4 linked regions of the Xenopus tropicalis genome follow. The protein of the gene in region 3 purifies or fractionates together with the protein of the main gene of each other region. This does not show direct contact. Links are inferred from orthologs where the notes say so. Each region holds a gene or a part of one and is shown on either strand. Other genes may lie near its edges. The genes, in order: cep78, atmin, ubr5 and dyrk2.

Region 1 (7,600 bases), on a different chromosome or scaffold from region 3:
ATGATTAAATACAGGATGCACCTATGTGAAACTGTGAATATAGCAAGCACTATTATAGACCAATATTAAAATACTAAATGTGAAACAGTAGTTATTTCAGAAGCAAAAGAATGTACTTGGAAACACACATTTCCCTTATCCTGTTTTGACAGATCAATAAGATAGTACTGATTTAACTGTTTAAAAGAACATGAATTTCTTAACAGTATACATAAAAGCTAGATATTTTTTTATAAGTACTGTACTTAAAGGTACCGTATATACTCGAGTATAAGCCGGTAGCAATCACTATGTGGAACTTTAGTTCGTATTTGTTTTCAGGCCACCTGTAACTTGCATACCTGCAAATTGGAACCCAGATAGATTTGTGAATCATGACAAACTGCATGCCGGTGTGTGCGTTGCTCGAGTGTGTGCGATGGCATGCGCACGCACGTCCACGGGGGGGGGGGCGCAGCAGCAGCGCATGCCATCGCAAACACTCGAGCAAAATCTGAATACCAAGTACTCTGTCCAACTGGATCCTGCCAGTAAACATACTTTGTAAGTACCTCCCAAACCATACCTGTAAGACCAATGCTTTCTTCTTGTTCAAACCATCTTTTACCATATTGTTTTTAAATTTTACTATTTTAGCAAAATTGCACTTTATATGGTTCACATAACGTTCACATAATATACAATGTTGCACGAGTATTTATAGATGTGGGGGCAATTTTATACACATGTATCCTGTTTAATATCGTTGCAGTTTTAACTAGATTGGGGTATTGAATATGTGCAACAGATTTATTATGAAGTATGAATGCACTTTTACTTTGTTGAAAAAACTAAACATTTATTTAATGAAAAAAATCCATTATACACCTCTGATGGCAGGTACCACTTCCCCATCCCCTAAGTCACAACATCATGCAACCTCTGCCTCACCTTTTTTCATTGTAAAATGATAGATTTCAAGTCTCTCTGCTCCCAAAAATCTGTACACCACCAACTATGAAAAGCGGAGGGGACTTGAAGTTCAAGAATCTATCACGTCAAAATGAAACAAGGCGAGAGGGGATGCATGATTCTGTGAGCCTAAGACAGTTGAGAAATGGTTTGTGAAAGTGCCATAATTTCTCTTTGACCTGTGGAATCAGGTATGTCTGTGTAAAAAAAATATATTTATTTTCATGCACCTTTTCTACATAAGCCCAACTGAATGAGTTTTTTGACTGAATGTCAAAAAAGGAGGCAATATCTCATTGATGTAAGCAAGAGCTTTAATTGACCAGAGCTTGTAAAGGTTTTGCTTCAATATTATCTAGTTAAGTTGGAGTTTTAAAGCAGATTAAACAAAACATTTTTGCTACATGCATGACACCGAAGTTTTTGTTTTCTACAATTAAAGACCTTTACATGTGTGGGTGCAAAAGTGGTGAAGCCATTTTATGAGAACCTACTATTCAAATATCCTGCCTTTACAAAGAAACAGACATATACTAGTGCCAAAGGTTTTCCAGTAACATAATAGTTCATTATGCATACTTAATACAAAAAAATTATTGTGATCAAAGATTTTGCAACCAAATGAAATAATTACAGTAATTGGTAAGGCATACCTCTGAATTGGTATCATGTGCATTCATTAACACTCTCTCAATAATGGTCTTCAGTAAGGAACGGTCTAAAGAAACAGAACAAAGAATAACAAGCATTAAAAACATCAGTTAGATTATATTCTGCATATGTGATGCTAATCATAACACCATCTGTTTAATGTGTCTTGTAATGGGATCCTCAGCATCTGTAGACAGCAATATCTGGGGCCCATAGAAGTATGTTCAACAGGAAAAATACCCCCTTTCTGACATAAGCTTATTAGTTGGGCTTATGTTAAAAAAAAAAGTGCATAAACATGATCTAAACTACCAAAAATATATAGATTTTGATTTTGATAAACAAAACACAATTGGCTCATCTACAAGCTCCCAATCTTCTGATACAGGCAAAGCTAATCAATAAAAAGCAGTATATCCACTTTTGCACAAAAAAAAAAACAACCTTTTTTGTTGTGTGCAGATAGGTAACCATAACCCCCATGTGATGACTATTAAAGGAGTGCAACAAATGAAACAACTGTTTAACGTCTGGTGTGCTCCTTTCTGGTGTCCTGTATGTCTGGTAACTTCTGCATATACATTTGTATATGTATTTGGTCCGATGTTGATCAAGCAGGTTTAAAAATCACACTGGGCAAGGAAAGCATCAGTTTGTTGATCACCCACCTCAAGGTCATCACCAAATGAGCATATCCTTTAGAATATGACCACCTTTATTCTAAGCTTACACTGAATTATAAATACAATTTTTAAACATACAGCATATCTTTAATCATTGGTACCTATTAGCGGGTTTCTTCTGATGTCCAGTATTATCAGTGTTGTATTTGTTTGAAATGCGTTAAGAAATGCTTGTGCACCTTCATTGGAAATACCACACTGGCGCAAATCTAGTGCTGTAGTGAAAAAGAAACAAACAAAAAAAAAACATCTAGTGTAAGGCTTACACTTTATGGAAAATGTAGCTTGCCAACAATGCAATATATGTAACAGGTTACAATAAACAGTATATGAGGGCCTAAGCAAGAATTCATATGTATAATTAGGGCTTTAAAGGACATGTCAACTTTAAAAGAAAACATAATTGTAAGCAACTATCAAATATGAATTTATTAAAGGAGAAGGAAAGGCTAATAAAGAGTTAATCTCAAGATGCAGGCATACATTCAGTTCTCTCAACAGTGCCCTTAAATCTCCATTTCTCCAGTTCAGATGATCAGAAGCCTCCTGCACCAACACCAAGGTGTACATGCGCAGTTTATAAGACTATGAGGAAGCTTCCTGCTGATTGGCTCAGACCACACATTCCTAAGGGGGGTGGGAGTTCTTAGCATTCTTGAGGGTGGAGGGAGCAGGAGAGGGTAGAGAGGAGAGAGCTGACTGTCCCTGGAAAACTAAGAGACAACAAATCCTCTTTCTTATGACTGTATTTACATAGACCTTTCTGATAAAGCTTACTTAGTTTTTACCTTTCCTTCTCCTTTAAAAATGTTTAGTGCTTTAAAAGTTATTTGTAAAAGTATTTGCTATTGAAAGCAGCATTTGCTTAACTTCTGGGTATGACTTTTTAAATAATGTTGCAAAAGCCAGAATCCTCCAGTAAGACAGGTCTGTCGGTCTACTGGCTTGTGTTAAATTGTTTTTAAAAATCAGAGCCACAAACCTATCATTATCTCTATAATACCCCTGTCAGATGCCCATGGTGTGGTAACCTTGGAGCATGATTTGATGTCCCCATATCCACTTCTGGTCCCAAATAATTGACTTTCTAGCAAACAATCTAGATTTCCCTAGACTATTAACACCCATCACTTTTAAAAGTCCTGGAAGCTGCAATATTGTCGCGACTTTTCCGTATTGAGCGCTCGTAAACAGCGGGCAAACCTTTCAGACTTTGCATGATTTTGGAAGCCTCCCATAGGACTCAATGGCACTCTGCAGCTCCAACCTGGCCCAAGGAAAGTCACGATACTGAAGCTTGAATGAATCTTCGTACTCGGCGCAACGGCTACGAAAAAGTCGCGACAATTCGCACAAGTCGTAATGCTACGAAAAAGTCGCGACAATTTACGAAAAAGTCGTAACGGCTACGACAATTTATGAAAAAATCGCAAAATACCGATCATTATGAAAAAAACGCATTCGGAAGCTTTTCGGACGTTCGTGGATTAGTAAATGTGCCCCTATGAGTCAGCTTCCTGCTCATTGGCTCTGATCCACATTCCTAAGGGGGGAGTGAGTTCTCAGCATTCTTGAGGGAGGGGGGAGCAGCAGAGAGGAGAGAGCTGAAAGCTGTGTGTTACTGGCAGAGGAAAACAGACACAACTAATCTTTTTACAGAGAAGTCAGTGCAGCATTTCTGTGAGTGCTTATAGCAGCATTTACACAGACCTTTCTGATAAAGCTTACTTAGTTTTTAACTTTCTTTCTCCTTTAATGAGTCTGGGAACCCTAGTGTAATACATTTTCAGAGGCACTTCAATAAATGGACACCTGAAAATTATTTCTTCACACCCCGACTTTATAAATCTTTAAGGACAAGGGTACTCCCAGCCTCTGAACCTCCAAAAGATCCCCTGAAATGATGGAGGTGACTCAGTTGTTGTTAAATGTGTAAATCTGGCTCCTCTATACAGTGTCTCTGATAACTAACTGCCAACTAGGAAATGTCACTCTGTAAACTTTGTGTTGTTTCTAAAATAGAACTTACCTTTAAAACCAAGGCAAAGAATGGGAAAAGGACAAACCCTGTAACATTATATACAAATAATGTAAAAACCATTACATATTTGTAATTAATGTATATTGCAAAGTTGCTTAGAATTATAATAAAATAGCTTAGAATTATGTTTTGGTTTTTTTTTTTATAAGGGAAGTTTAATTTTTTTGGACATGTCCTTTGCTGCCCCCTAGAAGTGCACATGAATAATAGAAAAAAAAAATCTGACCAAGCAGGGTGCCGATATTAGAGAGTGTTTAGATTGACTGTGACTAAAGCATTACAGTACACTATAATAGTAATAATATACATGCTCCTACTACATATTTTGAAACTGCATTTGAAAATTATGTATACCTTTTAACCAGAGGTCCTCGCCTATCACTTCTGCCAAGGCAATGGCTCCACGGTCACCCACAAGGGTATTGCTGTTAAGAGTGACACGCCTTAAACCAGCCATGCAGTCAAGATCAGGCCTTCTGTATCTCAGGCTTTCAGCCCAGGCTTCACTGTGCCTTCTGGTAGCCTGATGCTATGAAGATACAATTACACATTCACCTGTCATTTTCTGCATGACATCTTTGATGTAAAATAGCAGCACATGAACTTGTAACATGATTAAATTATATCCACAGTAAGTTTTGCAAAACATTCTTTCCTGGTGTTGGGATGCTGTTCTTTCCCTGGCTATCAAAAAAACTCGATAAGCAAATTAAGAAAATATAAAAATTCCTTCAGCTTGCCAAAATTTACTTGAGTAGGTCAAGAATAGCACAAATAAATTGGTACGAAAGTAAAAAACAAAACAAAAAAAAAAAGTACAATAAGAGGAGTGATGCCAGCATTATAAAAAACAGCAATAGGCCCAAGAGCATTACTCGTTTCCCACTTGTTGTATGTTATATAGCAGACTCTGCATTATAGAAAATATACAATTTTATGACATAAATTAACTTAGTTTTCCCCCTTTTTGTCTTCCCAGTATCACTTAGGTCACCAGTATCAACTCTCTCAATCAGTGTCTTATAGGCCTATACTTAGGGAACCCAAATTAAGTTATGTACTTTTCTTTGCAGCCCAAAATTGTTTTGCTAGCATTTTAATTGCTTTCTACAGTAGAAGAAATTTCACATGATTAAAAGGGGTCAAGGAGACCTACCATAAACAGAATATAGACTCATTTTTAATTCTTTACCCATAGGTTAAGAATGCCTGCTCTAAGCTGTTAAAAGTTGATAAATTAGTTGCAGGTATTTTCAGTAGCAGCAGCAGCACCTTTAGCCCCTACCAAGCATGCTCCTTGGTTTGATGCTTAACAAGTAAGAGTTGCAATGGAGAACATTTTTCTTTAGGCATCAATGATAGCTTATTTGTCTGACCACAGGAGTATATTTTGAGTACTATTCAAACAATGTAAAATGATTTAGTATCAAAAGTGGTATAAAATAAAGAGGTGCATGCTCTTTTATGCCCCCCAATTGCTGTATTATATTACTACTTCAGACTTTGTGTAATCCATTAAGAGAGAACTAAAGTCTTAGAAAAATGGTAATATTTTTGGAGGGCCCTCCCCCATACAAACCACACCAATTTTCCCCCTAAAATCTACTCAGTTTTCCCTACCTGTTGAGAACAAGCAGAACAGTGCAATGGGGCTGAATTGCACCACATCTGTGTCTGCAATCACTTATGAGAAAAGATTCAGCAGTGTAAGAAAATATCCTTTAACCCCACTATGCTACTTTGCTTCCTTTCATAAGATAAGGAAATTAGGGCAGATTTGTGGGGACAAACTGATGTGGTTTTGGTGGGGGAAGGGAGAGCTTTCAAAAATACTATTCAGGCTTTAGTTCTCATGTACAGAGCATGATAAATAGGCCCCTTTGGAAGGCCTCCTGCATTAATTCCACCTGCAATTAAATCTCACATGAAATATCATGCATCAGTACTACTCATTCTCAGCTATTAAACCAGACCAGTACTTTCCAGAGTATCACAGGCCATATAAATGCACTGCAGACCATTTACCTTGATGATACTTGCTATGTGTTCTGCTCCTCGCCATGTCAGATTGCACCCTGTGAAATTTACTGTCTTGATTGTAGGTGAATTCTTTACACTTTGACAAATAACTGAAAACGCAAAAAAACCTTTGTTTCACTGTTTCACATAGAGTCAATTTTAATATTTAAATGCTTTAATATACTTAGGGTATAAAAGATCCAAATTATATAAAAAAAAACCAATATTGAAAACCCCAGGTCCCAAGCATTCTAGACATTGGTTCCAATACCAGATTGAAACACAGAAAATGTTAAAAGGCAAGAATATACAAAAATGCCCTTAAAAAACAAAATCATGTGCTTTTAGCAAAAATTTCCTGTTTTTGGCACAGTATCTGGCTTTATGGCTTATTCTTTATAGGAATATAAAAAGATGCTGGGTGCTTCTATAAGAAGCAGTGAAAATATCAGTTGCATGCATCATGAATTCCTCTTGTCTGCTCATTAAGTCATATCCTGCAGCTTGTGGAGACCACTGTAAAAGGCTTTACACATTCAGAAATACAGTTAATTTATCCTGTTGAGATTTCCATGGAAACGGAGGAAACAGAGAAAAGGAAATACACAAAATAAAGCATCAGCGGGAACAGTTCTACCAAACAAAAACTAATTGAGAAAGAAATGATGTGAGTAGATGCTGATCACCTATAGAAGAGATATTTTATCTGACACTTTATACACAAAGAATTATAATAATTCCACAAGGGGCTACATTTATGTCTCTTTTTAGTAACATTACCAGCATACAACCCCCACCCTTTACCCTTTGTTGAGATTGTTTTGTTAGCAGGAGTCCATTATGTAGGGGGGACTATCTGTGCACTGGAAATCAAATTTGCAAGAACCAAAAATGACATAAGCAAGAAGTATATTTAGCACAAGATGTTTTCATTGAACTCATGTTAAACAAGAGGGTATACTGACCCTTTAAAAGGGTGTCATTTTTATATAAGAGCATGGGTTAATGTGCTTTTTGCAGATTCAAGTGAAACCCCAATGGCAAAAAGTAAAACTTCAGCGATGAAAAATTATTTCATTCTCATAAATACATACAATAACCAACTTGAAGGAAAACTTACTTTCCAGTCCTTCATCTCCACAGGAGCAATATGCCAAAGACAGGCTTTCCACAGATGAGGATGCAGCCAAACCCTTAAAAAAATGCATACGGTCAGCATAGAATTCCAAGGCCTGGCCTGAGGACAAACTCCATT
Region 2 (7,600 bases), on a different chromosome or scaffold from region 3:
GCAGTTAGGCAGCTTTCACTTAGGCAAAAGGTTCAACTTATTGAATGCATCTTTTTCAGCCTCATCTATTATGTTAGGTTATGTGCTGCCATACCCAGTTTTTACTTATTACTGCTTCTCCACCCAGACCCGCATGTCGATATCACAATTACCAGTTTACTGAAGGTATCATTTGGAGCCACAGGTATGACAATTGGCATGACAATTTTAGTATTTTTTATTTAAATTAAGCACACATACTTGGTTGACCAGTTATTCTGACAGCATAAATAAATTACATAAGAAAACAAAAATAAAGTGCTTTTCTTTATAGGTGTGCCTATCATATACAAATAGTCCAAACCTCTACACGTGGCATATAGATATACATGCTGTTTAGATCTGGTTTTTTTTTTAACAACCAATAAGACATTCTCTGTGATACAGCACAATTGTTTAGTGCAAGAAGGGCATGTAACACCAAGACATGAAAGTATTTTATTTGCGGTTAAAGGTGATATATATTTGCCCAGCACAAAGTATTTCATGGCAGAAATGGCCTTACCATAAATGGTGGTAGAGATCCATAAATGATCTTTAACCCTGATATCTCCATTTAAAAAGGGTAGTTTACCTTTATATTAACATTTAGCATGGGGTAGACTGATATTATCAGAATATTTTGGGATTTTTAAACTACTATTCTTTTTGTTCAGCAACTCTCCAGTATGGAATTTCAGCAGCTATTTGGATTCTAGGGTGCAATTTACTCTAACAACCAGACAATGGTTTGAACGTGAGACTGGGAATTTATTAGGGAAGTGCCCGGTTAGAAAGAAATATAATAAAGTAACAAAATTGTAGCCTCCCAGGGCAGGTTTTTGCCTGCAGGAGTCAGAGTCCATCTTCTGAAAGATGGAAAGTGACTAAGAGAAAGGCAAATAATTTAACAACTATATGATATTCTATAACATACAAAAAGTTAACCTAATGGTAAACTACCCTTTAAAACATTGCAACCTATGTAGTATATCTGTTATTCGCTATGCAAATATGGGCTCTAGCCATCTAGAACCCAAATAGCAGCCCCATAGCTGCATAATAGCTTATATAATCACCTATATTAGAAAACACATTTTTTAGACGTGTAGTCAAAAAATACAAATGTAATTATATACAAATAAAACATTCATTTTTTGTGTCACTGGCTTTTTAACAGGAATCTTCACACATGGCTCTAACGTTTAACTACACCTCTCAGCATGCAGGTAGCTGAAAATCCTTGTATGGTTGATGGAAACATACCATAATTTCTAATACACAACAGATATTTTTTGTTTCTCAGCTAACAGTAAGCCATGCAAGTTTCTTCACAGTGAGAGGGGTCAGAAAATGACAGACTGCTATCGCTTCAGCCAGGAAAAGGGCATAAATATATTGGGCTGAAGAACACTCATACACAGTTATGAGCATTAATAAGTGTTGGGAGTGCTAATCAGTTATGGGATTTATCAGATGAAAACAAAGAGAAAAGCTCCTTACAAGTCTGTGTTTCAACAGAACTAAACTGAGAATCAATTGTATTCCATGCCAGGTCTGCAAGAAGGAAGTCATCCATTGCAGTCTGGGTCTCATTGCTTGTGAGAAATAAATGGCCTAGTGTTTCAAAGCAGCTGTCAGTTGTTTGAGTTTCAGCACTGTTTTGCTGTACTTGACATTCCATGCTGTGAGATTCGTTAGTTTTGCTCTCAGAAGATAAATTTGCATGGCTGTCTGCATCGGATGAGTCTGTGCTCATTGAAAAGCTAGACTGTCTCAATATGCTACCTAATGGCAAGTGAGAGCTGCTGTCTAGAAAGAAATTTAGGTCAGTCTGTGTCTGAGTATCAAACATCTCCATACCTAGAATGCTAGAGTTGGTTTTGTTAGAGTACAACTGGGCAGAGTCCTCAGAAAACAGGAAGTCTGTTTGGGTTTCAATATCTAGATATTCTGAGGCGAGATTCCCCAACTCGCACTCTTCAGTTTGTGTCTGAATATTGGAGGCTGAAAAAAACTCATCTATGTCAAAATCAATGCCTGGGTTTTGCGTACAATTAGATGACAAATTTGCTTCCCCTCCTGAACTTTCTACTGATAACAGACTGCGATTATCTAACGGCTGGCCGGACATATTATCAGATAATATTTTTTCAAGGTCACTAAGGAGTTCCATGGTTTGTGTTTGGTTATCAGTCATGTTTTGATTAGGGAATGCCCCATTCTGATTGTTGAAGCCTATAGTCTCTTCTCTTATTTGCTGAACATCATTTGTATTCAATAAACTTTGGTCCAAAGCTCCAGGCAAAAACCTACTTTCTGCCTTACTTGTTTGGGTTGACACAGTGTAAAAAGAGTGGCCGCCAGTAAATATATTTTCACACATAACAGCTTGGTCCACCTGTAAAGTCGCCCCTCTCGATAGTTCGGTGTTTGTTTGTGTCTCACGAGAAATCCCACCAGAGAAACAAGGACTGATGGACATGCCAGCCTTAGTGCTGTAGGGCAACTCAGAATTTGATTGTAGTGTTTGGGTCTCAACGCTGATTGGAAGTGAGATCTGTGCATTAAATGATAAGTCTGTTTGGGAACAAGATGAGACACAAGAGTCAGAAGTCCAAGGAGGGTCTGGTAATAAAGACTGTGTAAAGTACGATATGTCAGTCTGAACATCTGATGTGATCCGGTTCTTTTGGGAGATATTGCCCATATCTGACATGATGTTACTAGACACCGGTTTATCTAGGTTGACTTGCACAAAAGAGTTTACCGGTCCAACTGTATTAGAATCTGTATTTCTAGACAATACAATACCAGCAGGTAAAGCAGTGTTTGTATCCAGGTTTGAGACAATTGATCCATTGTAATTAGACAATATTTGCACAGAAGTTGCAACAGAATCTTTAACTGCAACAAGCACTGGTTTGACTGAACAAGCAGATGAAGGGACCAAAACAGGTAGATGGGTAAACTGCATTACTGGGAGCTTGAGTAAAGCCAACTTTGGAAGCAGCAATTTTTGAGTTTGTTTCGGCTGTGAGGGGTTGCTTTCTGTCAAGCAGGAACTGCTGAGGCTTTCAACAGTGCATAGTTTTAAATCTGCCATTTGATCATCTTGTGAAGCCAAAGGGAGATCACTTTCAGGAAGTCTTGCCTCATTCATGGTTTCAAGACTTCTCATAGCAGCTTCAATCTTCTTTTTCTTTACAGGGGGCTCTCTGGGAAGAAAATTAAAATCACACATATAAATGAAGCAAAAAATGTATGATGAACACGGTACATGACAGGAGACAATGGCAGTATAATCAATGTTATTTACATATTTCACCTGTGTTCAACTGGAATCTCATGGCCAGTTCTATTAATGTGGGACAGGAGAGCAGTTCTGCTGGCATAAGGACAGCCACAGGTGCAATGAAAGGTCTTTCCACAATAACCAAGATGGCGTTTCAGGTCCCACTCAGTGCCGTAGCTGCTCCCACACTGGATACATTTGTGCTTCTTTTCTGCATGCATTTTCATGAAGTGCTGAAAGCAAATACATTCAGTACAAATAAAATACTGTTATTGCTCTGACACTAAGGAGAATAAACAGTAATCTGGAAAAGCACAAAAAAAATAATGATACTCTTCACTGTGACCATTTAAAAGGGATAATATCTGCTAATTCACCATGCTTCTATGTTAGGCAGGAATGGTACAATGAGGAGAAAATGTAGAGAGCAAATATAAAAAGAGGAGAATGGAAAACTAAGGGTGGCCATACATGGGCAGATTTCAGCTGCTGATTTGGGTCCTTAAAACATGCATAGAAGTATTGTATGAAATCACTGGCTTTTTTTAAAATTTTATTTTAATGTGCATTTTTCAGTTATATTTTGAAGCAACACCAAAACACAGAAATAGAGCATGCATTTGGGAAAAAACAATGAGATGCAGCTGTGAACTCTTGTAGCTATGACTAGTCAGAATCACAGCAGAATAGAATAGAAACATTTTGCTCATCCACTTAGATGCGCTCAAAAATTAGCCCATAAAAATGCTTGCCGGTATGTGCTCTAATCCAATGCACACAATTAGCACTCCAAAGCACTTGACCATGCCCGATTTCTAATTGCTGATGCAGGAAGACCCAGATATGAAGCAAGTGGCATACACCAAAATGTCTACTATGCTGTGACCCCTTAAGATATAGGCCCTCGAGCCAGTCCTTCTTTAACTTTAATTTTTGTTCCTTCGCCACAGATGGTTCTGTCAGATTAAGCATTCGGTGTAGTGACCCCTTTTTGTTGCTGAGGACAGCCACAATACATATGCTACTCGAGGGGAGGTTTGAAGTATGATTTAAGGAATATGTTTTTGGGAGATTTGCGACTGGAATACTGAAAATTAGAAACTAGAGTACTGAAAAGGAGAAGGATGATATAGAATAGGATGGGGGGGTGTCATATAAAAGTAATAACTAAATTTAGGACAGTTGGCATACCTGTTTAACACGGGAAAACTGAGAAAAAGGCCTGTTTGTTCCTCTTGGGCAGCCTTCTATTGGACAACAATATAATTTCTGTGAAGCTTTTAAATCTTTCCTTAATGTGGGATTCAGCACTCCATCCTGAGAAATAATAAACATACATTATATACATTAAAACATGAAATGCAATATCAGATGTTATCTGAAACATTGACCTGGTCCAAGTGTAGGGCTGATATTTTCGGCAAGCGGAAAAACGCTTGGCAAAAATTCAGCACTACGCCTGCTACTTGTGCCTGCATCAGAATGAATGGAATATGCTCGGGTGCCGGCACATGTAGCCGATATACGCATGAAAACGCGAGTCTTTGCATTCTCACGCGTTTTCATGCGTATATCGGCTACAGTGCCTGCACCTGAGCGTATCTCATTCATTCGGGTGCAGGCACAAGTAGCAGGCGTAGGGCTGAATTTTTGCCAAGCGTTTTTCCGCTTGCTGAAAATATCAGCCCTACACCTCGTGTGGCATCAGCCTTAAGAGCTGTGAGAGCATTAAGGGAAAACAAAAATACTGTTAACATGTACTACTGTTAAAACCTTACAGTTTTTCTTAAGAGCACAATTCATTGTGCCTTTACAGCTTGGCAAGGCTATTCTTTCGGAGGAAATCTGAGTGCTAGCTGTCAGGCTATCCCTTTACAATGGTTACCTTATCTGTGCAGCAATAATCAACCAATCAATCACACAACACCTGAGATCACTACCATTATAATAAGGTAACATTATAGTTAGAGCTGCCAATAAGACAGAGAATGGAAATCAGATTATGCAGCAGAAAATGCACGCTGCAACAAAATATATAAACATTAACTTATAAAAAAGTAAATAGTCAATTTTTGTAGATTTGGTTAAAAAAAAAAAAATATATATATATATATATATATACATATGTAAAGCGCAACAGGATGTTTCTTAGGACTCTTAGAAGGATTACGCCTTGGTGCTTTGAGGATTAGCTATCGCCTAACTTATTTAGTTACAGAGAGCTAGAATTTCATGTCTTAAAAGTATTAAAGGATGCACTGAATGATTTTTTGATGACAGAACCAACTTCCAAACCATGATTACAGCAGAATTGTGCGCGCCATTCATAGAATTTGATTATTAAACTATATAATGAGTTTATTTGGAACTCTTCAATATTTTATATAAATGTTATATGAAAGATCTATGTCTATAGAATTGATGGGCAAAAATAGTGCATAACCAGGGTGAGCAACTGTGAGGGCTGTCACTGGTTAGATGAGCAGGCCTGTCACATAGCTAAACAGATGGCAGATTGAAGCTCATTAGCTTTAAAACCCCTAGGTATAAATTTGCAAACATTATAGAATGCTGCACATAGGTCAGATAGGTGAGTTTATTACAAAGAGATTAATCAAACACACCAGAGGGCCAGTGTAGGCGGGTTCTGAAATTCTGTCAACAAGAAGAATTTGCTGACCTCCACCATAATAAAAGGACAGTCCCTAAGTTGCGAGTTGTTGCGTTCTGTCTGGAAATTAATGTTATGTAGAAATCTAAAAAAGTAGATCTGCAGCCCCTCTTCACTTGCTGTTTCACTGACAGTTCAGGCCATCAGCCTGAATAAAAAAAAACAATGGAAGTTGGCCATACATGTGTATGATCACCCTGCTCTGAACACGCTGACCTGACAGATACAGTAAAATATTGACCACCTAACAGCCATCTTGAAAGATCTATTTTAAATACTGTAAGCTTATACAACCAGGACCCCCTTCACCTCTTGCATCGATTATTGGTTGTTTTTGTATGTAAATCTGTATGCAAAGTTATTTTACAGCACTGCTGAATATGTTGGCGAACAATGACAAGAACAGAAATAAATCTATGGAGGGAAACACTCAGAGCCAGGACCCAATTGGAATGCCTGTTCTAGGCAGGATGGGGATATTTAAAAAAAAAAAAAAAAATACACAAAACCAAAAAGCTAGTAAAGCTATACCACCATACAATGACCCTTTAATACAGGGGTTGTCAAACTTCTCAGTCCTCAGACTGTTGGGGGTCGTCAAACTGTGGCCCACTCTTGCAATTTTTTCCAGAATTCAAACCCCCCCCCCCCCCGCACGCTCCGTCTATCCATCCAAACTCCCACGCTCATTCGTCTGTCCACCCTTCTGTCTCCCTCGCTCCGTTCGTCCGTCCGTCCACCCACCGAGTTCTACCTCTTCCAGTTCCCCCTGGTTTGCTGTCTGCTCCCTTACGTCCTCCCTCTCAGCTCCCCTGTCCCACTCACCGCTGAGTCCTCTCTCTCTGCTGCCAGAGGTGAGGACGCATCAGGGGGCTGGGTAAATTCACCACGGGCCGTAGTTTGAGGACCCCTGCTTTAATACAATTTGTAGAATAACATACCCTCTGGGTTGTCAGCTCAAACCAGTTGGGGTTATGTAAAAATGGTGCATAAAAACTATATGAACTTCCATAAATAAATATTTCAATTATCTATAGAAGATAAAACAGAAAAGATATAGTGCTAACCTACTGAAAATTATGTAATGCTGGGTAATTGATACAAATGGACAGATCTCCCTGTTAGGCCCAGTGTCTAATAGGCAAATAACTAGCTAATTTGGTAATGTACATGGTGAGCCAATGAGACCAATACAGGTCAATATTTAATTATTTTAGCCCTGAATTAGATCTTACGAACTTTTGAGGTTCAAGCTCCTCTTAGTGGTCCATTTTTTGTACAGGGCGCCTTTACTTATTAAAACGTTAAAGGTTTATATAATTCTTAAAATAGTATATTGCAGATTCAACAGCATTCTCCACAAACCAGTAAACTGCCAGCTAACACGACATTAGATTTTTTCTGTTCAGCTTGTTTAATCTCCCCTTCACTTGACCTTTCATAGAAAGAAAAGGTTTCACTTGAACAAATAAAGAACTGTTCTTGCTACTCTATTACGGCTTTGCAGTTTTAGCTTGAAGGAACTTTGAATTGCTACTTATTAATGGCTGCTGTGCCACTGATTAAAAAAAAAAAACAAAATTCGATTTAGGATGCTTTTCCTAGAGATTTTGGCC
Region 3 (7,600 bases):
AATCCTTTGGCAGGGCACATCTGCCCCACAGGCCGCACAGCATAGTCTTAAATTAAACCAACAGCCTTGAAAAGACTCCACAGTCTTTTTTTTTTTTTTTTTTTTTTTAAGTTTTACATAAACACTCTTTGGGGGGAGAAAATAAAGTAGATGAATCGGGAGATAAGAACGGTTGATTAAAAATATAATTGGCTTAACTTAAGATCACAGAATATGATATGCATGTGAAAAGAATGAGTATTAGGTTTTTCTTATTCAAGTTTGTACATTTAATACCTTTAACCCAAAACTTTGCTTTGTTTTTCCTTTTTTCATTTCTTCAGGAGCAGATGGAGTTCTGGGGTTGGTGGAAGTGGTGGGGGATCCTCTGGCCGGTCATCAGCTGGTGCTAGAGACTCTCGGAGGCAAACAAGAGTTATCCGCACAGGAAGGGATAGAGGCTCTGGTCTCCTGGGCAGTCAGCCACAACCTGTGATTCCAGCTTCTGTTATTCCTGAGGAACTCATCTCGCAGGTATAGTCCTCTTTTATATTTCTAAGTAAATTCAAACTTTTATTTAAACCTACAATATACATGTATGTATGTATGTATGTTCTCAGATATTTGCTGTTTAATGTGATCGATTCAGAATAATATCGTAAGACTAAAGCTCAGCTTGATGAATGTACAGAAATAGCATTAAATATAGTGAGCCCACGCTTCTTTTCACAATTAAATGGTTTACTGTCAGCGCCGCATAATAGTCTTCTCTTAGTAGTTTGACACCCATATATTTGGTTACAAGCACCGGAGACTCATTTAAAGGAGAAGGAAAGGTATTTTGGCATTTTATAGCTAATAGATTAGTCACAATAGTGCCACCTAGAACGCTAAATTTATACTGCAGAATGCTTTACCATACCTGAGTAAACAGTCATAGAATCTCCCTCTGTTTAAGATAGCAGCTGCTGTTTTAGCTTGGTCTGAAAACACTTCCCTGCCTGCACACTGCTCCTGAAACAGCTCTAAGTTTAGATGGGAGGGGGTGAGAGTTGAGCTGGAACAGGGAGGAGAAAGTAGGGTGAGAGAGGAGCAAGCTGAGCAGACTCGCGCCGTGCCCTGAAGGATTTTTCTGAGTGCAGGAAGTTCTTTGTTTGATTTTGCCACTGACATGGTGAGTACATCGGGGCTGATTGGATGATTGGATTCAAGGTCTGTGCAGAATTTTCAGGCAGCCTGGTTGGAGATCACTGTACTAGAGGATGAGACTTTGTCCGTCCCATAAAATCTTAAGTTGCATGGTGAAATTTCCAGACAGAAGTCATATAACCAAAGTATCTCATGTAGTTTAGATTTTGACAGCAGCTTTTATTTGTATTCAGTGAGTTTGTCGTTTATTGGTTGTACTGGTGACCTGTGTTTATACCCCTGTTTGGCAATATATGCGTAACTGCTCAAGCCACTCTCTGTGTCGTGCAGGCACAAGTTGTTCTTCAAGGAAAATCGCGAAGTGTTATTATTCGAGAGCTACAGAGAACAAATCTTGATGTAAACCTCGCAGTTAACAATCTCTTGAGTCGAGATGATGAAGATGGGGATGATGGTGATGACACTGCTAGTGAATCTTACTTGCCAGGAGGTAAGTTCAGTTTAGCCATTTAGATTATCCAATTTCTAACAATCCATGGTAAGCATGCTGGTCATTATGTTACTGGAACCCGTTGTGTTTCAAGACTGAAATCTAAAAGAAGCTCAAAATTCTTTCGATTCTTCTAAGGGCATTGGAAATGAAGAGAATCAGCATTTTGCAGCCTGCATGATTTCCAGCTTGGTAGGTGGAGAGCGGAACTCTCCAAATTGCTTTTCCATTCACTTCATTCTGGCCTGTAAGTTTACAGTGCGTCCTGCCAAGCTGAAAATCGCATGGGTGGAAATATGCTCTGGGTAATCTGTCTTGCAGCGCCCTTATGTACGTAGATGACAGATTTTAGAATTTAATCCTAGGAGAAATAATGGTGTAATGTTTTTACTTTAATTACTGCTTATGATCCTTGTGTTTGTAGAAGATCTTATGTCACTGCTGGATGCTGACATTCATTCTGCTCACCCAAGTGTCATAATTGATGCTGATGCTATGTTTTCAGAAGATATTAGCTACTTTGGTTATCCATCTTTTCGGCGCTCTTCACTTTCCAGGATAGGCTCATCCAGAGGTAATTCTGAACCTTTGCTTCCCCATCCTGTATACCTGTAATTGTCCCTGTGATGCCTTTATTAGTACAGTTTGTGTAGGTTACACATAATGCAGCAGTGGAAACCAATCAAGGTAAATATTTCCTTTTTTTTTTTTTTTAACTATGAATACTAGATAGCTAGATTTGCATTTATGTAATGGTTGGTGGCATCAAGCTTTCTGTTGGGGAAGCAAATTATCCACTGCTTTTAAGTGTAAAATAGGGGGAGTCTGTCAGATTCCTGCCTATGGCCTTAAGAATGAGAGGGCCGTAACATAGCTACCAGTAGCCCTTCGCCAATTCTAAATTTAAATTTAGACCCTATTCTAAGTTTTTTAAATTTAAAGGAAAGAATACAATTTAAAGAGCCAGTAACACCAAACAATGAAGAGGATTGATATATATCATTTGTAATATTTGTATGTATTATTTTCACATTGTTGTTCATTACTGTGTCTGGATGCACAGTGCTGAATTACATTTAAGGTAACACAGCTTTTTGAACAAATTTATTTTTAGGTGCCTAGTTTTTGGCATCAAAGGGAAATTATTTTTAAAAGTGCAGGCCGGGCATAGAATTAGATTTATATGTACATAACACATTTTCAATTTTTGATGTTACTGGCACTTTAATTTATAGGCTTTATTTGCTGCTAGATAAGAAGGGTCTCAAATAGAGATTGGCTTACTTTTATCCCACTGGTGTGACCCAATTGCATACCAGTTCTCCTTCTTCCCTTAGAGAGAGACTCTGAACTGTTGCGTGAACGTGAGTCAGTGTTGCGTTTGCGTGAGCGGAGGTGGCTTGATGGGGCCTCGTTCGATAACGAAAGAGGCTCCACAAGCAAAGAAGGGGAGCCTGCACTCGATAAGAAGAACACTCCCATACAGAGTCCAGTGTCACTGGGAGAAGACCTGCAGTGGTGGCCTGAAAAGGTATCTTTATAACTAGTCCCAATAAAGGTTTATATCACAATCAGAGTTCACAGAGCACTTTCACTTTTTTTGTAAATACTTCTGTATACCTTTATTTTATATACAGCTTCTGGAGTCACTAAAGCACTTTGAATTGCTTGATTTTCCTTAGGGAGGCGGGGGGGGGGGGGAATATTCATATTCAGTGGACGTTTATAAAACCAATAACAAGTCCACTGCTCTTTCAGTAAGTCAATATAAAGTATAGTTAAAACTGCTTTTTTTGCATATGCTGTCTCTGTAGGACGGTACAAAGTTTATTTCTATTGGAGCACTTTATTCTGAGCTGGTTGCTGTGAGCAGTAAGGGAGAACTTTATCAGTGGAAGTGGATGGAGTCAGAGCCTTATAGGAATACACAGGTATTTAGATTTCTCTATATGCTATTAACTGTATTCCCTATTATGCTACTTGTAACATTTTATCGAATTCATCATGCACTATGAATTTATATATCACAAATGGAATTAAAGAGTTTTATTTTACTTCCAGAATCTGTCATTACATCATCCAAGAGCATCCTTTTTAGGCCTAACAAATGAGAAAATAGTCCTGTTGTCAGCAAATAGTATCCGAGCCACAGTCGCTACAGAAAGCAACAAGGTTTGAACAGTGTTCTTGGCTTTTCTTTGACGCTTATTTGTTTTTGTCTGCTTATTGTGTCCTCCAGTTTCTGTCTCACTAGGGCCCAGCTTTGTTTTACTTGGCAATTGCTTCTGCTCCAGCTGGGGGCCATACATATTGTTTCTGTTATTTATGTATTTTTTAATGTTCAGTTTAAGTTCTTGCACAGTTCTGTGTGATATAAAAGTGTCCTTTAATTGTAATGAGTGCTTATTCCATTTTCTCTTTTAAGGTTGCTACTTGGGTTGATGAAACATTAAGTTCTGTAGCCTCAAAGTTAGAGCACACAGCCCAGATTTTCCCAGAGCTACAAGGAGACAAGATTGTTTCATTGCACTGTTGTGCGCTTTATACCTGTGCGCAGTTAGAAAATAACCTTTATTGGTGGTGAGTATAATTTGCTTGATTCAAAATAAAAAAGCAGGAACAGGGAATTTTAATTTTGTATAAACAATATCCTAAAGCTGGCCATACACGCACCAATAGCTTTGTATGATTTTCAGACTGTGTGTGGCCTCCCAATTATCGTCCTGATAATTTTCATACAATGCCAATTGCTCGTTTAGCCGATAGGCCAGGTTAGAAAATTTCGGTCAGACGAAGATAAAATCTGCAAATGTGTTGTGTATCTGACGATATCCTTGGGGGACCTTAATGCATTTCCAGGACATCACTTTCATATGATTGGTGTTTGCCAACTATTTCAGAACTATTATGTTCAGAACATTCTCCGATTTGTTATTTTAAGGGTGTTATCCTACAATTTCAGTCTGAATGTTAGTTTTATATTGTTACATTTAAACGTACGATTGATATCCGAACATTCGTCGGAAGAAGACTAAAATCTGAACATGTCATGGAACTGCCACCTTAATGCGTTTCATGCTTAACCAGCACTTAATCATAGGCTCCCATGGGATATCTGTGAACACCCAATCTTTTTGTGTCTGGCTACCATTTATATACTTGAAACTTCTCCCACCTCTTCAGTAAAGTCAGCTGGGACCGGGTACCACAGGTATAGGAAGGACAGCTTGCTGGGTAGAGCACGGGTTGGGAGGGAGGGTCGGTGCGTGTATTGCTGCTTTACTGCATTAGACTTCAGGGAGCAATGTGTTTTTTATTTTCCCTAATTTATTTGAATTTTAACTTGTTATATGCTGATTCACAATGCGTGCCTGAATAAGAAATTAACAAGTCAAATTTTTATTTTCAGGGGCGTTGTTCCTTTCAGCCAGAGGAAGAAAATGCTAGAAAAAGCACGTGCAAAGAATAAAAAACCCAAATCCAGTGCCGGAATTTCATCCATGCCAAATATCACAGTTGGGACCCAGGTGAGGAAACTCTAGTGGGCTTTCATATCTTGTTAGAGCAGTTTTAAACCAGCCCAAGGCCACCACAGCCCTTCAGATCTGTGGCTACAAAGGTGCCTTAAGTAGCCTCCAATTCTTTTCTGATTCCAGCCACATGATCAATGCTCCGGTCAGTCAGATGAGCTTAGGGACCAACTCAAAATATATACAGTATGCATATATAGCACACAATGCAAGTGCAAGTATGGTTAGTAATTCAGAGGCACATTGCCGGACAGCATAGAAACCAGTGTAGATTGCATCAGAATAATAGTTTTCATTTAATTTTATGTAAATGGTGTTAATTTTATGTAAACATAAAAAGGTGTGTAATCCTAAAGGTTATAATTAACAATTTACATCTTTCTTGCAGGTATGCTTAAGAAATAACCCTCTCTACCATGCGGGAGCAGTTGCTTTCTCAATCAGTGCTGGGATTCCCAAAGTAGGAGTATTAATGGAATCGGTGTGGAATATGAATGATAGCTGCAGGTTCCAGCTCCGTTCTCCAGAGAGTCTAAAGAACTTGGAAAAAACAAACAAAACAACTGAAGCCAAGTAAGTCCAATGTTTTTATTTGCAAAGAATAAGTACTTCATTTCACTTCATTCAGTTTGTATATTTGTGTGTCTCTCCTTAATCTCCGCAATCTGCATTAAATAACATTTTTTTTTCTGATCTCTGCCCTGTTGGTTCTCACTGCTGAAGTGGTGGGGATTGTTTAACTATTATTTTTGTTTGCCTTCTATAAGACCTGAAAGTAAACAGGAGCCTGTAAAAACCGAGATGGGTCCTCCACCATCTCCTGCATCTACCTGTAGTGATGCGTCTTCAATTGCTAGCAGTGCCTCAATGCCATACAGTGAGTAGTCTTTATGTACAGCCTTCTCTGTGACATTTTAGAAAGTTTAGTGTGTGTGGTTTGCTTTGCTATACATAGGCAAGGAAAGCCAAAGTATTCATTATGTGTAACAAACCCCCTTGACCCCAATTGCCTACTTTACTTGACTGTTACCTTCCCTGGAGCTTGTAAATTCTGCTTTTGGTACTGAATCATGCCACAATCTTTCTGCCCCAGTGGCACAGGATTCTTTATTGTCTCTAATTGGTGCTGCATATGTATGCACCCCCTCCAGCACAGACAGCTTAAGCTGTACGTGACCAGTAAATATTACAGCACAGACCAGTTTCAGATCGGCAGTAGCTGTGTAATGGTATTTAGAAGCCCCAAGGAAGGTGGCAGCCAAAACAGTAGTTAAAGGAAAACTTTACCCCCAAACAATGTAGGTCTGCCAACACAACATCACCCGGCAAAGCGTTCCATAACCTCACTGTGAAGAACCACCTACGCTGCTTCAAATGAAAGTTTAGTTAGTCTAGTCTAAAAATATATTGCATAAACAAGCTCATATGTAAAACCCTGCTTCATCTAATTAAACAATTTTCATAAAAATAGAAGAATGTGCTATTGGGTAATCCTAAATAGAAAATTGACATTTTAAGAATTAAGGGCCGCCCCCTGGGATCATAGGATTCGCAGTGCACACAAACAAGCCAAGGCACACATACATGCTAGGCCCCATCAGCCAATGAATGGGCAAAGTTTTGTCTTTTTGCTCCCACACTACTTCCTGTTACAATTAGAGCTGCATTATTTCCTGTCAGCTGATCTCTGAGGGAGCACACAGCCCATCCCTAAATGGTGGCTCAAGGGAAAGGATGTAAAAGGGCAATATTTACTGATAAATATATATTCCAGTTTGGAGAGAGTCTATATTAAGTGGTCTATTAAAGAATATCTATTAGTCAGCTAACTTTTTTCACATGATCTGGTCATGCCCCCATATTGCAAAATTCTGGTCAGCAGTGACCAAATATCTGTCAAACAACTTAGCCTTCCCCACTGTGACTGCTCCTGAAACCTGCTTGCTAGGAGTTCTAGATACTATAATTGCCCAAAATAGCTCCCGGTTACGCTACAGAATATTGCTGTTCTATGCCAAAAAAACAGTTGCAATGCATTGGATGGGCACTACCCTCCCCACCGTTACAGCCTGGAAGAATCTAGTGAATGTTGTTGTTCCTCTGTACAAACTCACATACGAGAATAGGGGCGCGCCCGATAAATTCGATAAAGTGTGGGGTCCTTGGTGTGACCTGGAGGGAAACTGAAGGACTCCACTCCCACTCACATGGTAAAACCCCCGACGCTCTTCCACTCCTCTCCATCACATCCTGCAGCACATCCTTTAGCTCAGTAGGTAGACGAACCCAATCTTATGTAACTGCTGCCAGAATCATGCTTAAACCTTATATTGTCACATCTTCCCCTTTGATATTTGTAACAAGCCTTAATGACAGACCTGAAAAGAAAGACCAGCATATTCTCTTTAATGTAATGTTAAGTGTGTTACTTTGTTTTGTTTGTATGAAAAGC
Region 4 (7,065 bases), on a different chromosome or scaffold from region 3:
GAACAGCTGCTATGGGAAATACTAGCAGGGCATAGCTTATCCTTTACCTACTTACCAATGGCAACAGAAATGAACATTTTGCCTCTTAATCCTGTGATTTCATACCTTCCCCTCCTCCATGTTTCCAATTCCAGCCAGATGATTGGTATTAATAGAAATAAATGTGCAAGGTACAGTCAGGCTGACAGCCAGACACTGTTAGTCTCTATCTCATCTCTGTGGAGCAGAGCTCAAGAAAACAGCAGGGCTGATTCCCAGTACATTGTATGTGGACATTTATTTATTTATTTCTCACTCTACTTTTCTGATATTTTCTTGGAGAATGGAAGAAAGCTCCGTTTTAAAATGTGCAATGTTTTGATTTTTATTAGATTAAGCCACACCCATGCTTATGGGAAATTGAAAGCACAATTATATAATAATAAGCATATGATTTCAAATCATGGGGGTTTTAGTAGTGTGTTTGTTTCTGGTTATTAAACATCTTTCTGAATTATATTTAATACTTATATGCAGGTAGCACTCTCCTGTATATGCAATTGGTTTCATAGCTTTCCAGAACTGCTCAAGTGATGCTTTTTTTATTTTAAGAAATGTATAATTTAGTTAAATGTATTAGATGCAGAATATCAGATTATACTCAGGGCATGGAGTGACTGTTTCATTTGTCATCTCATTTTACTATCATAACGCAGATGTATATATAATATTAATGACATCAAATGTTATGGAGCTTACAGTTTTCATTTAACAGTGTTTTTGTAATGCCTGTCCTTTTAAAAGGACAGAGGTTCTGTCAAGTTTTTACTCCTTTGCAATCGGTATTCATAGAAACAGATCATTTCAATATGAGTAGAGCAGCTGCCATATTAGTGGAGCAGTTGCTCCCTGACAGCTGCTCTGCTTTGAAATATATTTTAGAACGGCATTTAGAGGAACAGGCTTTTGCAGCTACATTTTGTGCATGTATAGGAGTTACAGAGTTTTTTGGTTTATGGCATGTATTGCATGTATGGTACTCCAATTTGTTTTCCCCCTTAGGTTACTGACACAGAGCAATCTGAAAACATTAACTTTTTGTAGCTTTGTGGGCAGGGGATAATGCTACAAATTGTCCCTCCGTTAGCTTTAAATTGAATTTAGCTGGGGCAGTTTTGTGCATGTAATTACCACTTGACATTTTGGAGCAATAATCGCATAACACTGCACCGGATGCTTTAAACTAATTCATTGCTATTGAAGGGCATCTTTGGAGTGTTCCCCCTGCCTCTGGAGCTACAACAAAGTATAATAAACCATGCATAGTGCAGGATATTTTGAGTATGTCAGCTACTTGAAAACAGTGGTGATAACCAGTAAATGAGGCTTAGATTACAGTTCCGTGGCAGCCTTGCCAAACAAGCAGATTTAGGCCAGCTCTTTTGAATTCAACCAACAATTTGTACACAGCTATGTAGAAACATTACAGATCATTTTTCTGTTAATTCTCATCTTTAAATATGTATGGTATTGATGCAAGGATCTAGAATTGTGTCAGTGTGGGGTGTTGCAGTCTCTGGGGGAATGTAGGACATTTACTCAAATATTGTAAAAACACGTAGGAAATCCATTGAAAATCACCGTACTGGTTAAATTTAGAAACTGTATAATTTGAGGAATATATCCGTTTAGTTTTCTCTAAATAGTAATGCATGCAAGGGTATTGCTTACTGCTGAATGCACTGAGCATCCCAAGTTAACTGCAAGTGTTGGTTATAACCTATATTTCATTACATTTCACTACATTTCATTTATAGTGTGTTCCTCCTTCCGTGTGCTATATATTAAAATAAGTGTGTTCAGCTTCTCTTGTGCTAACTTGCAGTGTGTTGCAGAATATGCTGGTGTTGTGTAAATGCATGTTAATAATAACACTAATAATAATTTATAATAATATTAATATGTTGTAACTGAGACCCTTATAGATTACTTCAGTAATGGGAACATAGCCTCTTGTCTCTGGGGATGTTATTGCTCCAGCTTGTCAGACCTACTGATGTGGTCTCGGTATTCCACATCTGTTAAGTAAACAGAAGGGCTGGTGGATGCTGATAAGACAGTCATGGCTGCTGTGTGACTCACTTATAGTGATGAGCTTATGAACATATGTAACAGTCTGGGTCCTTCATATTAACAATTTAGTTTATACTTTGAATTTGGAAAAATATCCTCTGCTATCTCTCTGTCAGATCGGTGCATGGTGTAGTGTCAAGTATTCGTTAACTTTCCTGGTTATTAAAGCTTATTTTAGTTCTGTGTTTTGTTTTTTTTGTGCTATGTAATAGATGGTATTAGCGTATAGGAATCATCCAATTTAGAATGAAACTTCTGCAATATAGCTAATTTACAATTTGTTTCCTTTCAGACTGGAGGCAATAAGCACACAATGAATGAACATCTACATGTGACCAGCCATGGACAAATCCAGGTGCAACAACTGTTTGAAGAGAACAGCAACAAAAGAACTGTCCTGACAACACAACCAAATGGGCTTACAACTGTTGGCAAATCTACTTTACCTGTAGTTTCAGAGAGGCAGCTTGAAAGTACTCATAGAAGACAAGGAAGCTCTAGCTCTTTAAAATCAGCAGAGGGCATAACCAAGTTGAAGTCTTCTTCATTAACTCCTGAACAAGCAATGAAGCAATACATGCAGAAGTTGACTGCTTTTGAGCACCATGAAATCTTTAATTACCCTGAAATTTATTTTTTGGGTCCAAATGCTAAAAAACGACAAGGTGTAATTGGCGGCCCAAACAATGGTGGCTATGATGATGATCAGGGCTCATATGTACAAGTGCCGCACGATCATGTTGCCTACAGGTATGAAGTTCTGAAGGTTATTGGAAAAGGAAGTTTTGGGCAAGTTGTGAAAGCTTATGACCACAAACTTCATCAGCATGTGGCACTAAAAATGGTAAGGAATGAAAAGCGTTTTCATCGGCAGGCTGCAGAGGAAATCAGAATTCTAGAACACCTGAAAAAACAAGATAAAGATAACAATATGAATGTCATTCACATGCTGGAGAACTTCACATTCCGCAATCATATATGTATGACATTTGAATTATTGAGTATGAATCTCTATGAACTGATCAAGAAGAATAAATTTCAGGGCTTTAGCTTGCCTTTAGTTCGCAAGTTTGCTCACTCAATCTTGCAGTGCTTGGATGCTTTGCACAAAAACAGAATAATCCACTGTGACCTTAAACCTGAAAACATTCTGTTGAAACAACAGGGCAGAAGTGGCATTAAAGTTATTGATTTTGGTTCTAGTTGTTATGAGCACCAGCGTGTGTATACATACATACAATCACGTTTCTACCGGGCACCAGAAGTTATTCTTGGTGGTCGCTATGGGATGCCTATTGATATGTGGAGCTTGGGTTGTATTCTTGCGGAACTGTTGACTGGCTATCCACTTTTACCCGGAGAAGATGAAGGTGATCAGCTGGCATGTATGATTGAGTTACTGGGTATGCCTTCTCAAAAGCTTCTAGATGCTTCAAAAAGGGGTAAAAATTTTTTTAGCTCCAAAGGTTACCCACGCTATTGCACTGTTACAAGTCTGCCTGATGGTTCCGTGGTATTAAATGGTGGTCGTTCACGAAGAGGTAAACTAAGAGGCCCCCCTGGAAGTAGAGACTGGGTAACTGCTTTAAAGGGCTGCGATGATCCTCTGTTTCTTGATTTCCTGACACAATGTTTAGAATGGGATCCTTCTCTCCGGATGACACCTAGCCAAGCACTGCGCCATCATTGGTTAAGGAGGCGGTTGCCCAAGCCTCCAACTGGGGAAAAGATCTCCACTAAAAGAATAACAGAAAGCACTGGTGCTATAACATCTATTTCTAAGTTACCTCCAACATCAGGCTCAGCTGCAAAGTTAAGAACTAATCTGACCCAGATAACGGATGCCAATGGAAATATTCAGCAAAGGACAGTCTTGCCAAAGTTGGTTAGCTGATTTAATGGACATCTTACATTGAAAACACCTTGCTGAGCCTTATGCATACAAAGCAGCAACTCGGATTTGTACCATTTTTAATTGCTCAGATTATTTTAAATACATTGTTTGTGCAACAAGTGTATTTTTATGTAATCATGAAATTGTCAAACAACGGGGACAATGCTTTAAGGTTTTATACCTTTTTGTGATTTGTAATTGGCCTTGCTTTAACATAGGAAGTGTCAAATTCAGTGGCTGGCCACTGATTACTACTTGACTGTTAAAACTTATTTATTAATGTCAAAAGTGTTAGTTATAATTCATTCATATTCAACAGGATTATGCTCTGGGTGCCATAGGCAATTTAGAGCATTGAAAACATGTTTAATACACACTCACACAGTATAGATGTGTAGATCGGTGCATTTTGGCTTCTGTTAAATGGGCCTTGCACAAAGCTGGCACAATAGTATATACAGTAACATTTGTTTGCATTTGGAGCAATTACATGAAACTGATTTGTGAAAGGTACTGCCTTTATACTTCAAATTGAGCAGTTGAATCACTTCATTTAATAAAGGTAGCTTAATACCTTTTTTCTTATTTTTGACATAGCCAAAGGATTTCATTTTACCTTAATAAATATACCTTTAGATATATTCTATATGTAGGTGATTAAAAAAACGTTTTCTCAACATGAAAAGGGCATTGACGATAAGCAAATTTTTAAACTATTGCTTTGTGTTGATTGCTATGGGTTTTTTTTGGGGGGGGGGGGATATCTAATGGTTTTATGCAACGTGAAGTCAATTTAGTATTTTTAATGTAAGAATAGCGGAAGGCATTGGTATTACTGAAGGATCAGTAGGATGTTCATATTTATAAAGGAAAAAAGAAGTGTTGCAACCTTGTGCTGTGAAACAGCTTTGTGTATTGGGATTCAATTAAAAGCTGTAGTTTGACTGTTATCCCCTTTCCCTTTAGCCTACAGATTGCTTAGCTGTGAGATTTTGTTCTTAATCCCTTGCAGTTTGTAAGCCACACTTTTAAAGGAGCAGTTCAACCAAACAATGTTAGATATCAATAGAAGTACTTTAAATGTGCATTAGTAATCTTTGTATACTTGCCATGAAAGGTGTTCTTTCCTCTCTTCATTTATCTCCACTACATTGTTAATTACAGTAGCTCAAAGCTTTAAGCTAAAAAGTTGTTTAGATAAGTTTGAGCTATGAATGGCATTTTAAGTACTTTTATACATATTTGACATTTTATTTTTTGTGAAATGTCCAAAAATGTAGGTTTAATTGGAAAGTGTGGGTATAATTGTGGTTACATTAAATTTGCAGCTCTGCTTTTTAATTTTTATGTTACTTAAAGCATGGTCCCCAAACAATGGCTAAAATGTTTCTGGCTACATTTTTAAATTTAAGTGCAAGTCGAATAGCAAAGAGATAATAATGGATATAACTATTTACTTCAAGTTTCAATTTGGATTCAGACCACACTTGTAATCCAGCAGCAGGTCAGGCCCTTCTTAATGTACATTAGGGTTAAACAGGAAATCATTATTGTAGTAATCATCATCCTGTATAATTGCAAGGGTATCCAGGACAGTATATAAGCACGTACCGCAACTTTCACCCTACCTGCCTCTCTTCATTTACTGCTTTTTCCATCCCACTGGATGCCATTCAAGCAGCTCAAGGATCTCCTAGATCCTCATGTTGCAGTTTTGTTATGGCAGTCGTATTTTCTCATTCTTTGGTGGGAGATTCAAAAGCAACAGTACCTCAATATTTTAAAACAAAAATCATCTTTTATGTTCTCACCACTGAAAACAGATTGCACTATTTTGATATCTGATTCTGTACCAGAAACTTTTAGACAAGGGGCAACTCACAAGCACTACCAACATTGTCGGTTGCTGAGCGGGAACCCCCTTTTGATACATATTTGGATTTGTTTTCTTGGTATTTGAGTAAGGCGGTGTATAAAGTCAAATTATAAGAAACGGACATTACTTGTCCTTACTTTCCCATGAATGTCCATTCTGCCATTTTCGAAGGTAAGTGCTTATAGAATGCTGGCTGAAGCTAACTTTGTTTTTACCTTAAGGGCTTCAGTGGTTGATCTGTAATAAGTTGTCTTGGAAACAGTACTTTGTCTCACAGGTTACCATTGTCTAGGGAAGTCTTACCTATTTGCAGCATTTGGGATAGCACAGTATGATGCTGTATCCTTGGTTGCAGTCTCGCATGGCACATTCCATGCACATATTGAGACATTTTTGTCACACAAGTGTTTTGCTATATGAGTTCAACACTTTGAAACAAGAAGTGTTTATATAAACACTACAGGATACTTTGTGAACTTAGTGTGAATTATGTGCCTTTTTGTTATTAGTGCTACATTGTCAGGCATATTTTGGCCTACTTTACTCTATAAAGTATAGCAGGTAAAGGCATCTATAATACAGTTTTACTCTAATATGTCTTAAAATATTCATCATGCTAAGAGGCCTTAAAAGTAACCATAGCTCTAGCAGGTTGTTTAAGGCTGGCCAATTATGCTGCTAGAAAATGCTTCCTTAGACTGTGAGGTCCTGAAAGACCTGTTGGTTACCTGTTATACTTTTTATCATTTCTTTTTTTTTTCAGGGTTTTGATTATGCTTATACTAGTGAACAATCTTAAAAATGTGTTTGTAAAATTTACCTCAAACTGTTTTTCATTTTTATGGTGTGATCAATCCCAGGGCATTTGGTAAGAACCAAAGTGCATTCCTTTTATATTTGCTGGTTGGAATAAACCAGCCAGTGATTTTTATAATTTAGGTGCAACGCACATAAGCCACTTTTAATGTATAGTTCGGGTATACATCTCTTGGACATTGGGTTGTATTGGAATCTCAAAGAAGAATCTAAACTGTTAATTATACAGTATATAAAAAAAGCCCTTGATTCTTTCACTTCTTCCGAGATTCCCCCACATCCCAATTTTATGCAGCTTGCATAAAAAGACACATTGAATTCTTTCTTGTTGGCACTTTTACAGCTCTGCAAAACATTTTGGTTCTGA

Evidence for each region.
Region 1: the proteins of ubr5 (region 3) and cep78 purify together in Homo sapiens (affinity purification with western blotting; 3 studies listed by BioGRID, with this or other methods). This does not show direct contact. The link is inferred for Xenopus tropicalis from reciprocal best matches to the Homo sapiens genes UBR5 and CEP78.
Region 2: the proteins of ubr5 (region 3) and atmin purify together in Homo sapiens (affinity purification with western blotting; 3 studies listed by BioGRID). This does not show direct contact. The link is inferred for Xenopus tropicalis from reciprocal best matches to the Homo sapiens genes UBR5 and ATMIN.
Region 4: the proteins of ubr5 (region 3) and dyrk2 purify together in Homo sapiens (affinity purification with western blotting; 3 studies listed by BioGRID and IntAct, with this or other methods). This does not show direct contact. The link is inferred for Xenopus tropicalis from reciprocal best matches to the Homo sapiens genes UBR5 and DYRK2.

The regions. Positions count from the first base shown.
Region 1 is NC_030677.2:132,559,607-132,567,206, reverse strand, and holds part of cep78 (centrosomal protein of 78 kDa), read right to left. Parts: intron 7,539-7,600; coding exon 7,466-7,538; intron 6,456-7,465; coding exon 6,352-6,455; intron 4,856-6,351; coding exon 4,681-4,855; intron 2,501-4,680; coding exon 2,387-2,500; intron 1,670-2,386; coding exon 1,605-1,669; intron 1-1,604. UniProt on the Homo sapiens protein: Centriole wall protein that localizes to mature centrioles and regulates centriole and cilia biogenesis. Involved in centrosome duplication: required for efficient PLK4 centrosomal localization and PLK4-induced overduplication of centrioles.
Region 2 is NC_030680.2:52,814,081-52,821,680, forward strand, and holds the end of atmin (ATM interactor), read right to left. Parts: intron 4,631-7,600; coding exon 4,505-4,630; intron 3,547-4,504; coding exon 3,347-3,546; intron 3,237-3,346; coding exon 1,475-3,236; 3' UTR 202-1,474; downstream 1-201. UniProt on the Homo sapiens protein: Transcription factor. Plays a crucial role in cell survival and RAD51 foci formation in response to methylating DNA damage. Involved in regulating the activity of ATM in the absence of DNA damage. May play a role in stabilizing ATM.
Region 3 is NC_030682.2:131,337,961-131,345,560, reverse strand, and holds part of ubr5 (E3 ubiquitin-protein ligase UBR5), read left to right. Parts: intron 1-323; coding exon 324-513; intron 514-1,458; coding exon 1,459-1,618; intron 1,619-2,042; coding exon 2,043-2,192; intron 2,193-2,937; coding exon 2,938-3,149; intron 3,150-3,432; coding exon 3,433-3,549; intron 3,550-3,679; coding exon 3,680-3,790; intron 3,791-4,043; coding exon 4,044-4,198; intron 4,199-5,027; coding exon 5,028-5,145; intron 5,146-5,536; coding exon 5,537-5,721; intron 5,722-5,915; coding exon 5,916-6,025; intron 6,026-7,600. UniProt on the Homo sapiens protein: E3 ubiquitin-protein ligase involved in different protein quality control pathways in the cytoplasm and nucleus. Mainly acts as a ubiquitin chain elongator that extends pre-ubiquitinated substrates.
Region 4 is NC_030679.2:58,474,700-58,481,764, forward strand, and holds part of dyrk2 (dual specificity tyrosine-phosphorylation-regulated kinase 2), read left to right. Parts: intron 1-2,404; coding exon 2,405-4,006; 3' UTR 4,007-7,065. UniProt on the Homo sapiens protein: Serine/threonine-protein kinase involved in the regulation of the mitotic cell cycle, cell proliferation, apoptosis, organization of the cytoskeleton and neurite outgrowth. Functions in part via its role in ubiquitin-dependent proteasomal protein degradation.